Linked DNA regions of Nothobranchius furzeri. The protein of the gene in region 4 purifies or fractionates together with the protein of the main gene of each other region. This does not show direct contact. Links are inferred from orthologs where the notes say so. Each region holds a gene or a part of one and is shown on either strand. Other genes may lie near its edges.

Region 1 (4,156 bases), on a different chromosome or scaffold from region 4:
AACACTGAGACAGGCGTAGGAGCTCCGGAGTCCAAAAGTCCTCCTGGGGTGGAAATTGAGGAGGAAGTAGAAGAGCGCTGGTGCTCGGGTGTGAAGCTTAAGGGTGCAGGGGTGGAAGCGGGAGACACATCTGCGTTAGGGTTTGAGATGGAAATGAAGGAAGATGGGGCAGTAAAGGAATCAAAGAAGTCAGAGGCTGGATTGGCCTGTCCGTTATCAGTAAAGAACTTACTAAGACTTGGGCTGGGCTGGCACACCAGCGGGGCAGTCATCTTACTGGGAGTCACTGCTTCATCACTGCCTCCACCACTCCCCGTGGTAAAACTAGGGGACTTGATCAGAGTAGGCTGAAAGCCATCAGGTGCCAGGGACTTTGGCTGTGTGCCCTGGCTAAATATGGTGCACACTGGCACAGGCTCATCTTTAGGACTAGTCCCTTTGGGTGACTGATGTTCTGGATCCTCACTCTTGATAACAACAGGACTATGTGCTTCACTCTGAGGTGAAACCACTATTTGAATTTGCTCTTCTATGTCAATCTCTTCTTTTATGTCGTCTTTGGTACATTCTTGCTCCTTTTGATCCACTGGCACTTTAATCTCAGTTGTATTCTGTCCAATTTCACTTTCTTCCTTTTTGTTCCCTGAGGATCCATTCTCCTCCAGCCCACCATCCAGGAAGGAGTCAATAGGACCCACATCATCCTCCTCACTGTTATTGGGCGAGTCAGAGATCATGACACTCTCCATCATCTGGTCATTGAGTCTATCCATCAGGCTCTCAGAAAGTGTGGCACTGCTGTCCTCTTGTGGAGTGACGAATTCCCCTGCACCCAGGTCAATGCTGTCCTGTTGGAGCAGGATGTCATCTTTGGGAGGGGTCTGGATGGTGTTAGTTGTATCTGTCTCCGGGACAGAAGCTTCATTGCTGAAGTCTTCCACTGTAATGCCCAAAGTAATAGGCCGCTGGGCATTACCCTCCCCTGTATCCATCTTACTGCTTATGAAAGAAAACAACAAATGTGTTAGGTCAGTGATGAATTGTTTTATTTGGAATCTCCAAAACACTGATTTCTGGGTTGAGGGTCAGCATTGTGTTCTATTTTTCAACAAATGATGTTCAAGTGTACTTTGGTTACTGCTTGATTCAGTCTACTATGTTCGAAATCTGTCTGAAGTTTCTGATAGTGGTTGTGAGGAGTGACTCTGAATAAACTAACTGAGGGGAGGATGTGATTAGAATAAACTCGTATAACATAAAAACACTTATTTTTTCCCTTCTTAGACAGCAACGTTCAACTGTGTGTATCTGTCTGCTGAATAACTTGAGCAGTGGCAGTTTACCTGACTAGAATACGCAAAGTCTGGATATGAAATCGTTAAAATTGCGTTTTGTTTATTGCGCTTCATATTTTCAGGAAGTTGGACGCATCCCCTTCCTGTCACTACTTTCAAACACCTGTAATTACACGCATGCACCGTTAACATTGTATCACAGCTACAGCGATAAGGTGAGTTTGAATATTTTTACTATTTCACGCGACATAGATGAAGCTATGTTGCTCAGGACTGCTATTTGATGCTAGGAGGCTATGATGCTAATGCTACGTAGCTGTGTGGCGTTACAGGGCGTAAAATAGCAGCTGTCACACTACAAAAATAACTACTAATAATTCAAAACGAATGGGACACGTCACACGTATAGTCAAAATAGAACAAACAACACATTTTAAGAAGAAATACAAACATTAAAAATCGCTAATCTCTTACCTTACTGCAGCTGGACGAACAAAAAAGCAATGCGCATGCGCCGCGTAGGGAAACAGTGTACAATTGCCCGGATGTGACTATATGGTATTCTTCACGGCCTTTTACGTAAATTTCAAACCCATCCTTACGTTTCAAATCCGCTGTTACGTATTTCAACCAGAGTGTACGTTCTTTTCTCTTGCATTTTTTTAAATCGCGGAAGTGATGCTACTGTTTCTTGTTTTTAACACTACTACGTTTCACAAAAACAGCAACTTAAAGGGTTTCGGGGTGTTTTATTTATTTTTTTATTTTAATTTTAAAGGATAGAACTGAAGGCTGAAACAAAGTGAAGAATGGAAGACGACGCTCCTGTCATTTATGGTCTGGAGTTCCAGGTAGGCTGTGGAGTCCTCTCTTGTTACTCCATTCATTACTCTCCTCAGCTATGCTCTCTTCTGCGGTTCATTATTTAAATATGTTCCTGTCACGTTTTGTTTTTCTGCAGGCACGTGCACTTACTGCCCAAACAGCTGAGACTGATGCTATCCGCTTTCTCGTGGGGACACAGTCACTTAAATTTGACAACCAGGTAAGAACACTTGTTCACTTCTAAACATATACAGTTTGATCTCAAGCACACGTTCTATACCTTCGTTGAAACTTTATTGGTATGTGTATTCACATGTAGTACACCTTTTTCATTTTAGTTTTGTTCACCAGCACATAATATAAACCAGTCATCATTATTGATGGTTATTGATTACAACCTAATAAAAACTCCACATAGAACACAATGTCTTTGTATAAACTAAGACTGGCCTAATATTCAAATCCATAAAATACAGAGATTGCTTGATGAAATCAATCTAGAACCAGTAAAATTATTATTTGACTTTTAACATAAGTACAGCTTGCATTTAGTGGCATGTATTTGTGTAAACATTTAACTTGAAATTAATTAAAAGTTTTTTTTCATATGCACATTAAGGAATCATGTATTCCTGTACAATGGAAGGATTACTTCTTTTCCCGCCAATAAAACTCAAGAGTATAAAATCAACATATAATGAATGTAAATAATTTGCACAATCAAACAGAGCATATAATAAATAAAATAAGAAATATTGTGCAGAGAAGTACTTGTGGAAAATGAGCATATTTTATCTTTCATTGTGTTTGATTGTAGTATCAATTTCTGCACAAACCCTCTGCACATTTCTCCTTTCCCTAATAAACTATGTGCGTTGCAGTATGATGACACATCTCAATAAAACACTTAGTTTGTTTAATCCAACATATTATGATATGTATTACCAGAGAAAATTAGATATGACCCAAACCTACTAGAGTCAGGTGAACACATGAATGTTTTTCTAGTTTCAGGTGCTTTTCTAGTCAGACACAGTCACCTAAATGCTTTCCCCCAATAAGAACACCATGCATGGAGTTTGGAATCAACTGAAGAATACAGATCACTTGATTTTCTGTTTATGTTGTTCGATTCAGTGTGTGTGTGTGTGTGTGTGTGTGTGTGTGTGTGTGTGTGTGTGTGTGTTTCCAGGATCTTACCTACTAAAGCATTTTTTAAACTATTGGATGAGCTCCAAAAAGTAGAAAATCATTCTCAACAGCAGGTGATGTATCAGAGCTTATTTAACTCAGATAAATACATTTTTATAGAAATACTTTAGGTTAAGCATAAAAAAACTCTATTACAAATACTGCAGATAGTAAAAAACGTGCCGTCTACATGTTTCAGAGGGAGAAAAATACCTTAATCTATCTGTACAGAATAAAACACACCCTTTTATGACATATTTCCTGCTCTTTGAACTGTGGATCAGTCGTATCAGAAAAACGACGACCACCAATGAAGAGAAGATCTGTTCATCACACTTCATCAGAAGCAAGCTGTTCAGCAAAGGACAAATGTCCCCTTTAATCCACCAGTATGGGACAGACAGTTTAAACATAGAGTAGGACTTGAAACAAGACCTATTTACTAATGAATCCATGTTTGATTTGGTGGCAGTCACAGAAGGGTCTATGAAGGAGGCCAGCAGAAAGTCAGATGATGCGACAGAGAGAAGAAGGGATATTTTTTCTACTCTGGTGTTGGAAACTTGCTCTGGATAGATTTCACCCTGACCAAAGCGAAGACAAGTCCTTAAAGACATGCTGCGTGCTCTAGTTCCATCTTCTTAGGTTTGAAGTTCTCATTCACATCTCATCAGAACACTGTCTCATTTCTAGTATTAGATGCGTGATCCCTGTACTTCTTTTTAGTTTTACTTTGGGAAATTATATATTGTCATAGTTGAACTTAAAGTCAATATCCTAATTGTTATAATTACTGTAACCATGAACATTAAGATTATGTCTAAAAAACAACAGATTTTACCTAA
Region 2 (4,134 bases), on a different chromosome or scaffold from region 4:
TGTCTCGCTGGATGCTGTTTTTTATTCATTTACATTTTTGTTTTGTTTAACATAAACAAGTGACATCATCAGGTCATGGATGAAGAGGCAAACAGGAGCTTTAAAGGATATCTTTCTTGGCGGTGTCCTCCACCCCCATCAGGTCATCTTTATCGGCTACCTCCTCATACTGCAGCAGGACAAAGAACATCGGGTCACATAAAACACAAAATACTTTCAACTAAACGGAAAATGTGAATACTAAACCACCGACCTGAACTTTGAGAAGTCTGCTGCTGTAGGACTTAAAGTAACTGTAGTAAATCTTGCTCATGGTGTCTACATACTCATCTCTGATCTCCTTAGCAACGGTTCTCTCATTGGCCAAAAGGAACTGATAAAAAAATCTACAACAGAACAAAAACAGGCAATAATGTAATTCTGGTTGAATCTTTTTTTAATTTCACAAATTAGAAATATAAAAACGTGTTCACAGTTCCTTCCAAATTCCAAAGGTTAGGCTGGAATTAGAAACTTTTAATGGATTTAATCCACGTCAAACTGCGTCAGGAACTAAACGGTCCACAAAACGTTCCATTTACCGAAGGCTCACCTGTATTTTAGCAAAGTGTTTTGTGGGATCTGATAGTTGGTCATCGGTTTTCTAAAGGAGTAGATCTTCTGTAGAATAAACTCTCTGATCTTTGACACTGCCTAAGGAAGGAAAAGTGATTCTAGTGTCATTTAAACTCAGAACATGAACTTCTGTGACCCTTCAGTGATTATTATTATTATTATTATTGTTAATTCCAACAGCGGTTTCTGTGATTCACCTTGACTTTGAGGCGATCAACGATGTCCTGGATGTCGGAGCAGGCCAGCGTCTCCCTGAAGCTCAGCTCTTTTGCAAAGTTGATTTTGGAGTTAAGCTCGTGAAGCTGCTCAAGGAACTCCTGCTCCGTCACCGGGCTTTCCAGGATGGTGCTGGAACGATCCAAAAAGCTTCAGCAACAAGACATCAACACGTGACATTTCCTACAGCATTGTTACAAATAATCAGAAGCTGTTAAACGTACGAGATCATGGCTCCAGGCACCACCAGTTCATCCACCAGCTGGCTCAGGTGGCTGCGAACGGCCTGCCTGTTCTTCAGACGGACATTCATGCTGACAGACTGCTGCTGCAGGGTCTGGATCTCGCTGCTGATGGAGGACAGGTCGCTCTGGAAGCCGCTCAGCATCCCCTCCATACGCTGAAAGGGGGGAAAAAAACATTACTTACCCCGATTTAGGTTTTTCTGGACAGTGGAGCCAAACGTTTCTGAGGGTAAAGTATGAAGAAATCCTGCCTCACCTCTAAAATAGAGTCACAGGCTGTAATCTGGTTGTGCAGAGAAGCAATGTTCTGACTCTCCTTAATGTCTACGAGGCGAAGGTTCAGGGAAACCACATAGAATGAGTTCATTTAGGTTTCTGGCTGCAGAAAATAGCATGCAAGTATGACTGACTTCCATCAAATTATTTCTTTAAAACAACTTTTTAACCTCAGAATGTAAACAAACATTTGAGTATGACTTTGAATATGTTGGATAAAATAAAAACTGCATGTGAAGAGGGACCCTGCCACTCAGACACATACATAAAGAAAAAGCAGGAAGCTCTGTGAGGACAGATAAAATATCAAGACATGTAAATTATGAGCTGTGAAGGATACAGTCTTTGATTGATGCCTGTTCAATCTTCCGCAGCTCCACCTCCACTTGCTTGGAATACTGACGGAGGTCAACACCCTAGAAATGAACAGAAGAGGACGCATATTAGTAGTATATCATAGGAAATGTGACAGCAAATCGTTCATGGATTGGTAGTGAAGTACAATTAACTGACATGACAGGACTTACCGTTTTGAGTGCCTCCTTCACAAGATCATCTTCCAGGTTGGCCTGAATATGAACTATAAAAGAATAAAAATGAAAAAATAAAATAAAATAAAAAAGAATATTGCAGAAACCCAAGGCTAGATGGGAAGTAGCAGACATGAAAGTTCTAAAACAGATGTGTATGAGTAAAGCTTGAGTGCAACTGCGCCCTTACTGTCCACTTCATCTAAGATGAACTCATCGGTGGTGATGTCCAGCTCTCCCAGGCTCAGGTTGGTGATGTCTCCATCGGTCTTCTGCAAAAAGAAACAAACAGAATCACACATATAATAAAAATAAATTCAAATACTTGAGAGGGGACTCCAACTTCTATTTATTTTATTACATAAGATTTTTTGTTTTGCACAACAATCTGATTGAAAAAAACTGGAAACGAGAAAATATACAAGATATTCATGAACATAGCTCATAATAAAGTTGCTTTTCCTGTTTCTTATAAATATAACTTTAATTTTTATCAAAATGCGACAGTTTCATACAATTAATGGGTACTGTATTTCCTGGTTAAGACCTTACACATACAAACTTGACAAACTTTAGATTTATAGCAAATTACAGGTGAAGATTGATAAAGAAATTAATAACATTTGAGATAAGGGACATGGTTCATGACGATTCATCAAATGATTAGTTGTCAACAGACTTTAACGAGCTGAATACGTTGTTTCTTCAAATCAGACCCGCACTACTAATAATAATGAAATGTCACCTCGTCTTGTAGGTACGCCATGACATTTTGTGTTGAGTTTCCTCCTGTATTTACATCAGAACCAGCTCCAACAAAACCCAAAACAGCATCCGCCATGGCTGCGAAATTTATGCTAACGTAAGCACAACAAACGAAAGTTCCGCTTACTGAAGCTCGAAATGTTTATTCTGTTTTGAAATAAAAAAACGTGATCTCAAATTTCAGGTCGCTTGATATAAATACGTACAATAACGATATCAAACATTTTTTTAGCATCACGTATTTTAGCAATTTATGTACTTGTTTAGCAAACCCAGTTGCTTATCGGACATTTTTAAATGAAGGATCATTTTCCGGCAAAAACTGATCCAAAATCTCGCGAGAAACAAGCGCCTTCCTCTTTGCACGGAACCTACTTCCAAGATGGTCAGTATGGTATATCTTAAACCAGAGTAGATTTGAAATCCACGTTCATCCTTCGTTGTGCTTGTTTGTTCATTGTTTATAAACACGGTATAATTTATATGCAGCTTGTATGGGTTGGTTCTAGTGATATGGCTGATGTTATGTCTGTTGATTTTGACTTATTTCAACGTAACTTGCCATCAATGCTAGCAGACAGTGGGGACCGGTAGAAGCGGAGTAGCGCAAGTTGATTTTTGTTTAACATAATTATACGTATAATGGAGCAGTTAAAGCTCAAATAAGCTATGTTATTTTCCCCTATGTTCTGTAATCCTTATACGTTTTAGGGATTTTTCAAAGCTACTAGCGCTTAGCTAGCCATACTAATGAGCCTCAAAGGAGCCAAAAGCATGACAGTTGCAGTAGACTAGTTATTTTCCTTGAGCAGCTTTGTTAAACATACTGAGTTCGTTGCCTGTTTGTAAAGATGAGTGTATTAATGGTTTATTTTAGTTATTTTAGTGGAGTACTGGGTCTGTACAGAATGTTAAAACTGTTTTTGATCGTTGTTGTTTTACTTGTGCTGTTTTCAGTCTCTGGTCATCCCTGAGAAGTTCCAGCACATTCTTCGTGTTCTCAACACGAACATTGATGGTAGGAGGAAGATTGCCTTCGCCATCACTGCCATCAAGGTATGTTATGTCTCGTAATACCACTTAAATTTCTTGTTAATAGACTCAATGTTTGTGTTGCCTGATTTTTACCATTGAGACTGGATTCTGTCTGGTTTAAGGGTGTTGGCAGACGTTATGCCCATGTAGTCCTGAGGAAGGCCGACATTGACCTCAACAAAAGGGCTGGAGAGCTGACTGAGGAGGAGGTGAGAACAGAAAACCTGCACCGTTTCTGCAATTCTAAAACCGTGGTGCATTTAAAAAATTGCTTCCAGGAGAGCAAGTTTTTAGATGGTGGAGGGGAAATCGGCTGTGGTGGTGCTGTGAAGGTTTGAGAGATCAGAAGTAGTTTTCGTCACAAACAGCTGGGTAGTTTGCAGTCGTTTAAAGTAAAAGTTGTTACTGCTGCTGTTGTCGGTGCCGTTTAGGTGTCTTGACTAGAGGAGAGT
Region 3 (3,963 bases), on a different chromosome or scaffold from region 4:
CTCTTCCTTAACATCTGGGAGATGATCAGACCCTGAACCTGGACCAAACAAGACATATTATTACTAGGCACTCATAAGGCTCTAGACTCTAAACTGTTTTACTTGTTAATCATAAAAAGGAAAAGAAACAAACCCACCTTGACATAATGATTGAGTAGTTTCTGTGCCGCCTCTCTGGCTTCTGCGCACAAAGCTGTGACCGGTGTTATGGGACTGTGGTGCTGGAGGATAAAAACGAAACGTGAGCAGAACCATTCAGGACAGTAAAAAAGCACAGTGCTTTGGTTAATGGTGGTGTAAAACCTGCACAAGGAACTGTTCGTCTGTGAGTGTGAGGATGTAGGAGATGGTGGACGTTTCAAAGTCCAAACAGAGCCGGGACAGCAGCAACAGAAGGGCTGGAGGAGTGGAACCTCCTTTGTCTCCCGCGCTTTCACAAAAGTTGCGAGAGGACTGGCACACAAACTTGATGAAGCTCACCACCAGACTCTCGCGCACACCTTGGCTGCAGAATTCCCCCTGGGAGGAGGAGGAGAGAAAGAAAGAAAAATAGCAGCCACATCCACAAAAGTGCAGAATCAAGGCACAGAATTATCGAACCGGCTGGTTTAAAGGGGAACACTCACCTTGAAGTACGGCTTATTGGAGAACGTGATGTCCTTAGCTGTGAAGAGGTGAACCGACGCCAGCACCGACTTAATCTGGTTGAGAATAGAAGCTGACAAAGAAGAGAGCAGCTCTGGTAGGCTAGCTGGTGCATCTCTACCCGTGACAGGTCCACCTAGATGTGCTGCACCTCCAGCCACAGAGAGCCGAGGCGTCGCCAAGGCCTGTCTCACATCCGTCAGGCTGTCCATGTAGAAGTTCTGCAGGGCACACAGGTACTGCTTCACACGCTCTGTAGCTGCTCTTATGACAATTTCTGTCCCCCTGTTGGGCACCGCCGAGCCTGGCAGCAGTTTGGACACAGCCTGTAGCCTGCGGTGGAAGCGGTCGAGTGCACGGACCAGGAGGGAGTTATCACTAACCCCTTTCTCTTCCTGTATCCTCCTCTCAACGAGTGAGAAATACCGGGTGGTCAAATCATCCACAAAGGTGTGCAGCTTACCATTTGCCATCTGAAGGATGTTCTTTGAAGCTAGTTCCCCTGTCTGAGCATGGTTGATGAACAGTTCTTGATAGGATGTAATCACTAAACATAAGCTGCTCACAAATTCATTGCATCCTCTGTCTATGAACTCCAAGATGTCTGTGTTCAAGGTGGGAGACGACAGAGAGCTCATCTTAGGGGAGTTATCAGTCGGAGATCCAGAGGACATGTTACCTGAGGATCTGCGTGTAGATGCTTCTTTCTTTGAAGCTGGGTAGGGTTTTATCTCTGCTTCTAGGCTCTGGAGATCTAACTCGAGTCGAGACCGGGCATGGCTCAGGAATTTATCACAGAGCTCCTCTGCAGGCTCGTCCAATTGAAGGAGCAGCTCCACACACTCAGACAAATCTTTGGCACTCGTACCGCCATCCCTTTGTGCACAGGAGAAAAGAAAGCCAGAGATCTCATAGGCAGCTCTTTATAATTAAATCAGTTTTTTGCAAATGGGTTAGGAAATTGGCACCTGAATTTCTGTCGAAGCTCCTGAGCGAGCTTCTCCATGATGGCGTGACAGTCATCCTGAATTCCCTTGAAGGAGGGCAGATGGCTGTACTGCTGCAGCACGCAGCGTGCACGCCGGTGGAAGCTCACTGCCTGAGCATACGCCTGCAGCTCCAGACACTTGTTCAACCTCGCAGGCAGCTCAAACAGAAACTGAAGCTTCCTTAGCAGCATGTGGACCCCTAACATGGAACATGACGAGAGGAACAAGCATGAACAAAGTCTCTGAAGAACAATCCAAAAGACAATTTGCAGTCTAACCTGAGAGTTTGGTGATCTGTGCATGCTGATCTTGGAGCGTCCCGCTGATCCGAGCACTAAAGTCAGTGATTGCCGCCATGTTTGTAGACAGGCAGTCCATTTCGTCTTCCATCTTTTTGAAATCATTCTTCATCTTTCTTATGGTGTCTAGCAAAAATAAAATAAAAACATGATTGCACACATCCAGGTTATGACTGAAGCAGATGTGTGTGTGTGTGTGATGCTCCACTTACCTGTAGCAGATATGAATTTATTGTAGTTTTCATAGACCAGGGTCTGCATGTCGCTGTCCAAAGAGCGGATCTGCTTCACCATGCAGGTCTCTTGGTCCATCAACTCAGCAAGAGAGCACTCCTTTCTGAGCTGTAATAGGACACAGATCAGTCAAAGATCATTTATAACTCACATTCAGGATACAAAATAAAATAAAATCCCCAATGATCATATGGAATTCTTTAACTACAGCCACACAGACTATGTCTAAAACATGACAACACTTAAAGCCAACAGCTGATATCTCACAGCACCTTGTTAAGGTACAGCTCCGGGTCAAAATGCGGCCCGTTGATGTCGCAGGGATTCAGAGACTCCGGTTGCTCTGGGGCCTTTCCTTCTTCATTCAGCCCGTAGTAAAGCTTCAGCATGCCGTGCACCTTTCGCCTCCTCCCCGACTCCTCCGACATCGCCACTGAGCCGTCCGCGTCGACATCCATACTGAACTCCGGCCAGCTGACAAACGGAACAAGGACACAGGCGACAGCTTATATCTTCAATTATATCTTATGTCAGTTTAACTCCACTATCTGCACTAAATAACGAGTATTTGTGGCGTGAATATGCGAAAAATAAGACTATTTTTCTCTCAAATAAAAGCAGATGATTGTTAGCCTTATTTCCGCGTTTGTAGCCAATCCAAGGTAACGTTCTCCGAAAGTCAGCGTAATCGGTCGTGCAGTACTAATACGCATGCGCGACAGCAGTTCACTTCCGCTATGGTCTTTTTTCCCCGTTTGTACAGCTATTGTTCATCAAAACATTAAATATCAACATAAGTATTAAACAAAAAACACGAAATCTTTACTGAATTACACATAATAAAAAGATGAACAATTGTTACTAATATCGCTGATATTTGTGTTGTTTTTCTCTTTGCTGATCAGCGCTTTGAGGAAAAGGTATATTTTTGTTGTGATTTATATTATTTTCTCAGTGAAAAATTCAAAGCAATCAATACACATAATTTCAATCCCGCTCTTGCATTTGTTTGCACATTAATTGATCTATTGACATACTATAATTCATTTTATTTCAATCCACCATATACATACTACTTACAAACAACATAAAATGAACAAATGCATCTGATATAGGTGACAAAGTATTTCATTTAATGGTAAAATAAATCTACAAGTATGAGTGAACAAAACAAATACTGATGAAGGAAAAGTTGAGTCATGAAATCAGAATAACATTGAGGTTTGGCTTCATTATTCAGTACTTGGGCTTTAGGTAGTGGCGTAACAAACACATCATGAGGGGAAAATTTCTGGATTTTACTATCAAATACTTAAACAGCAGAAATGATAAGACTGCAATGCACTTTTTAACATCAGTAGAAATGGATAATGCATTAGTTAGTTAACTGTGTGGGAAATAAATAAAAAAAATACATTTTTGACCACATCCAAGTGAGTACAAACAAAAAGGCACTTTAACCTTCTGCAGAGTAGCAGCTTGAAAGGGCAGGGTTCTATTTGACCATACTCTTCACTGTTATATACACAAACAAGAAATATGTAGAGAGTAAAAATATTCTTTCAAAAGTTCATAATCAATATAAAACAGCCTGATGATGAAAAAAATGTGTGTTAGTATTAACAGTGCAACATCCTCTGTGTATCATGCTGGAATGCCTATTCTACAATGAGACATGCATAGTGTAGGTTAGCAACAACACACAGACCTGCTGCAGTTTACAGACAGTAGTTGGGCTTAAAGCATGGAAAAATAACATTCTGTTGTTTGTATAATGAGATGAACCAGGGAGATCC
Region 4 (4,105 bases):
TTCATATTTCTATGGAATCTCACATTTTATGGTTCATAAGTAAGATGTAAACTACTCATCCTTTACACTGTCAAAGACAATTCCTGTTGGAAGCAAGCTAGAATTTCGACAAAATGTTTTCAAGTTTTGTAACTGTAGACTAAGATTTGTGTTATGAAAGTTGTGATTTGAAACTTGTACACTGATTTTTTTCTGCAAGTTACAAAATAAAAGTTACATGTTACGTACAAAAGTCACATGTTGCAAAATAAGAATTACATGCTACAAAAGTAAACTTACCCGTTACAAAATGGAAAGTTATATGTTACAAAACAAAAGTTACGTGTTACAAAACAAAAGTCACAGTTACAAAACATGTAACAAGTTAAATGTAATGTTGTCCCAATCCTAGTTTCATATAGGGGATGCTAAAATCATGTAAAAACTGCCTTGTTCCCCTTTAACCATCATAAACTACCTGACAATGGAGCAAATCCCTTTAAGTACCAACAGTTGTAAGATCAACAAACAATGTGGAACAACATCAGAAGATCCCAGAATAAATAGACCATTCAGACCAAGCAAAGCTAAATAAAAGCTATAAGAGAAATCAGATGTTTGCTTCCATCAGCTGAACTGATTTCACACATCCATGTGAACGAATAAAGTTTGTCAGCATGCAAACTGTACTAAGTCACGTTGCACAGAAGTTAAAAGTCAGAGTGGGAAGCTAGCGGTGCACTGAGGTATGAGGTGGTTCCTCACTTCATGGAGCCACTCTGCGGCTTTGCTCTGTCAGAGCTCAACAAACTTCATTTGATCAACTTAAGTATGACTAACAGTTCCTGTAAGAAAGCGTGGCAGTTTTAAACCTGTCAGAACAAGAAAATACAGTGTGGAGATTTTATTTCCCTCCATCTGTGATGCTACATGTTCCTAGGTTATACAAACATGAGCTGTATGATTTCCTACACAACTGTCTGAGAACAATGTGAACATATGACTAATTTACATGTAAAGAAAGCATAACACCAGAAAAACTGACATAAAAACTGTCAATTCATTTTGGTCTTCTTCTTCTTCTTCTTCTTCTTCTTCTGCTTTTTAAAGTTCTCTTTCACTGAAAACAGTTTTTTAATTATTGTGTTGGATTATAATCCATCACTCAGAGTTTTTAATGCAGGCTAAACATAAAACAGTCTCCAACACCTCTCTCCTGCATTAGCTGTACACGGGGAAGGTTGTTGTTGGTTTAGCATCCAGAAAACAGAAGAGAAAGTCTCGGCTAGCAGAAGCAAAAGCTAACCGTTAGCATTAACAACTCCACCACCCAGCAGAACCCCTCCAGGCTTGTGTTATGTATGGAGATAGAGCATCAATGTTGCAGAGCATGCAGAGTCAGTGGTAGAGTCACATTGATGTTAGCAAATCAGAGGAGAGATGGTCAAATATCAGGAAACAAGACTCTAAATCCTGTCGTCTGAAGCCCTCCTCTGAAAATGGCTCACTTCTAGTTCCTCAAACACAAGCACCAGAACTTTATTTCCCAGAATACTACATACAAGGCACTTATTCTTGCTAGAGACCACAGAAAAGCCATTTTTAAAATCTTATTTCTGTTTATAACCAGTCACTCTGAGTTTTTCATGCAGGCTGTACATGAAGATAGTCTCCTACACCTATCTCCAGCGTTAGCTTCTGATAGAAAATAGACGGTGAAACTCAAGAATTAGAAAATGCGAACAGATCTACATCACACTGTCACTTAACATTCACAGACTCATCCACGAGCCATCCACCTGGATATTTACACTCGTTTTAGAAAGCAATAATAGTGACAGGCCTAGCATTGATTGTAAATTTAAGACATTATGACATAAATGATAAATTGATACAACAGCTAAAGACAAGGAAAACAACACACTTGCCAAAACACATTTAGTTGGAACTGATGTATTGTTAGCATTATAATATCCAGACACGATACCATAGATTCCATAAGTTTTGAATTTCTGATGTCAATAAAGCTCCACTCCATCCCCCCACCCAAAACAATAACACTGACAATGAATGCTCTTCAGCCACCAGTCTCAGCTTGTACATGAAGATTACCTTGCTCGGGATCCTCAGGTTCTCCACAGGACTCAGGTCTGCCATACTCTCTTGGGGACTTTTCAGACCCTGACACCAACAAAAACACCGATCAGAATCACGTCACAAACATCAAATAACCCTGTACCGTGATGTCACTCGCTCCCGTTGTCAGACAGCTTATTATTCTTAGCAAACAGCAGCATTTGGCAAAAAGTGGAACTGGCGGACAGATTTTTAAAAGCCGGGGTCCAATAAACCGGTGGGTCTAACCTTACTGCTCGTGCAAGCTGAGAACTTCCCTCACCGGCCAGTTCTCATTGTGCACAGTTATCTGATGCACACCTATTACAAAGCGCCTCCGTGCAAATAAAAAATGTACTTATACGCCAAACAAATGCGTCATAGCTGTGATGTAGCAGATAGAAGATTAAGTTTTCTCCTCATGACTGTGGCCGTTAAGGAGCAATACGATGAGCTGTCAAATTAGCTGTTAGCTTCATTAGCTATCATGCTACCTGCAGCTGTCAGACACAAACGGCCAGCTGGTCGCTTATTAAGAACCTGCCTTGCTCACCTGACGGGCCATAAGAGACTTTATCTTCTGCATCGTAAATCCTACTGGTGTGAAGGGGTAAATAAAAGGCTACAACTTTAATTTTTGCCTTGTTTTCAATAGTGACCCTCTGTCACTGCGAGAAGGAAGCCATAGTTGCCTGTCACGTGACAACAGGAACTAGGGAAAATTGTGAAGCATCATGGGAAGTGTGGTTTTACGTGTATGTTGCTTTTTCTTACCTGTTAAAACTTCTTATGGATAAAATTCAAAATTTACAGACAGAAAAAAATTATTTTATTAAACAAAGTCATGATTGCGGAATTAAACATTATTATACCACCTTAATTTGTGTAATACTGTTAAACACCACAGGATGGTGGTATAATAACAATCCTAAGGAGACCTAGGAGATGCCTGAGATGTCTGCTGACTTTTTGTGTTAAACACAATTATAACCTGAGTCGAATTAAATGAAAAATTGGTAGTTAAATTATTTAAAGTGATCCCTAATTTCTAAGAACTAAATCTGTGTGAGTACAAGCCACCATCGATATGTGAGAACTTTGGTCATTGTCCATCCATCCATCCATCCATCCATTATTTTACGCTTATCTGGGCTCACCTACCAACTCAGACTCACGTACCAAGAGCTCCTGTAGCCGAGGATCAGACCGCCAAGTTTCCCACCTTCAGCTACCATCCATCACACAATGCACCTGACTCTTTGCCCCCTCCCATGAGTGGTGCACCCATGGGAAGGGAGACCCACGTCTTTATTCGTCTTAGGGACAGGCTCCATAGTTGAAAGTCTGGCCACCAGGCGCTCGCCAATGTAACGTGATGAAGAAGCTATTCCTCCAAGGTTATTTAACCTCTATCCACAGTTGCCTTTGACACAGCGCCAGGGTGCATGAGACAGCCTCAAGGTCATGCATTTGCTTCTAAACTGTTTACTTTCCAGCAAAAGAAGACAGAAAATGAAGAGACTCTTTTCTTTTATTAAATCAAAGAACTCTATTTTTAATAAAGCTAATCAAAACAACTATTAGTCAATAATACAATGTGACCGATCTGTGAAATCACAATGTCATGATTAATATGTTTTTAAGAAGTAATATGACTTATTCTAGTTCACTAGACACACTGACACACGTAAGGTAAACAACCGCATGACACATTGTTGTTGCTGATCCAATCAGAACCTTCCTAGTCTGAAGCATGGCATAGTCTCTGTGGTGTTTATAAATCTGCCAGCTTTGATTCGACCAGAATTCAAAACATCCAGATTAATAAAACAGTTCCAACGCCATCTTAAGTTCAGTTCTCAAGATCTCACTGAGTTCAACGCATGCTAAGCGGAGTATTGGACCGGCCATCTGTACTTCACTTTTTAAGCTGAAAACCACCAAGCTGGGAAAAATCTGTTGTTTTTACCAACCAAGCAACGGTTCCTTTCAGAATAAAAGCTGAACTCGC

Evidence for each region. Proteins that work in one complex are often made in the same cells at the same time.
Region 1: the proteins of vps50 (region 4) and eipr1 purify together in Homo sapiens (affinity purification with mass spectrometry; 4 studies listed by BioGRID and IntAct, counting the BioPlex papers as one, with this or other methods). This does not show direct contact. The link is inferred for Nothobranchius furzeri from reciprocal best matches to the Homo sapiens genes VPS50 and EIPR1.
Region 2: the proteins of vps50 (region 4) and vps52 purify together in Homo sapiens (affinity purification with mass spectrometry; 4 studies listed by BioGRID and IntAct, counting the BioPlex papers as one, with this or other methods). This does not show direct contact. The link is inferred for Nothobranchius furzeri from reciprocal best matches to the Homo sapiens genes VPS50 and VPS52.
Region 3: the proteins of vps50 (region 4) and vps51 purify together in Homo sapiens (affinity purification with mass spectrometry; 7 studies listed by BioGRID and IntAct, counting the BioPlex papers as one, with this or other methods). This does not show direct contact. The link is inferred for Nothobranchius furzeri from reciprocal best matches to the Homo sapiens genes VPS50 and VPS51.

Annotation. Positions count from the first base shown.
Region 1 is NC_091758.1:44,403,903-44,408,058, reverse strand, and holds the start of eipr1 (EARP-interacting protein homolog), read left to right. Parts: upstream 1-1,356; 5' UTR 1,357-1,510; intron 1,511-1,769; exon of another isoform or gene 1,770-1,831; intron 1,832-1,934; exon of another isoform or gene 1,935-2,073; 5' UTR 2,074-2,104; coding exon 2,105-2,146; intron 2,147-2,256; coding exon 2,257-2,340; intron 2,341-4,156. Other genes in the region: trappc12 (trafficking protein particle complex subunit 12), read right to left, coding at 1-992. UniProt on the Homo sapiens protein: Acts as a component of endosomal retrieval machinery that is involved in protein transport from early endosomes to either recycling endosomes or the trans-Golgi network.
Region 2 is NC_091759.1:11,202,326-11,206,459, reverse strand, and holds the start of vps52 (vacuolar protein sorting-associated protein 52 homolog), read right to left. Parts: upstream 2,801-4,134; 5' UTR 2,724-2,800; coding exon 2,628-2,723; intron 2,155-2,627; coding exon 2,073-2,154; intron 1,933-2,072; coding exon 1,880-1,932; intron 1,769-1,879; coding exon 1,693-1,768; intron 1,401-1,692; coding exon 1,333-1,400; intron 1,232-1,332; coding exon 1,056-1,231; intron 964-1,055; coding exon 813-963; intron 694-812; coding exon 593-693; intron 387-592; coding exon 254-386; intron 170-253; coding exon 114-169; intron 1-113. Other genes in the region: rps18 (small ribosomal subunit protein uS13), read left to right, coding at 3,030-3,032, 3,605-3,703, 3,805-3,891. UniProt on the Homo sapiens protein: Acts as a component of the GARP complex that is involved in retrograde transport from early and late endosomes to the trans-Golgi network (TGN).
Region 3 is NC_091750.1:53,409,563-53,413,525, reverse strand, and holds the start of vps51 (vacuolar protein sorting-associated protein 51 homolog), read right to left. Parts: upstream 2,801-3,963; 5' UTR 2,626-2,800; coding exon 2,440-2,625; intron 2,276-2,439; coding exon 2,146-2,275; intron 2,060-2,145; coding exon 1,913-2,059; intron 1,834-1,912; coding exon 1,614-1,833; intron 1,522-1,613; coding exon 627-1,521; intron 520-626; coding exon 304-519; intron 222-303; coding exon 138-221; intron 39-137; coding exon 1-38. UniProt on the Homo sapiens protein: Acts as a component of the GARP complex that is involved in retrograde transport from early and late endosomes to the trans-Golgi network (TGN).
Region 4 is NC_091751.1:27,569,746-27,573,850, forward strand, and holds the start of vps50 (syndetin), read right to left. Parts: upstream 2,803-4,105; 5' UTR 2,681-2,802; coding exon 2,648-2,680; intron 2,161-2,647; coding exon 2,092-2,160; intron 1-2,091.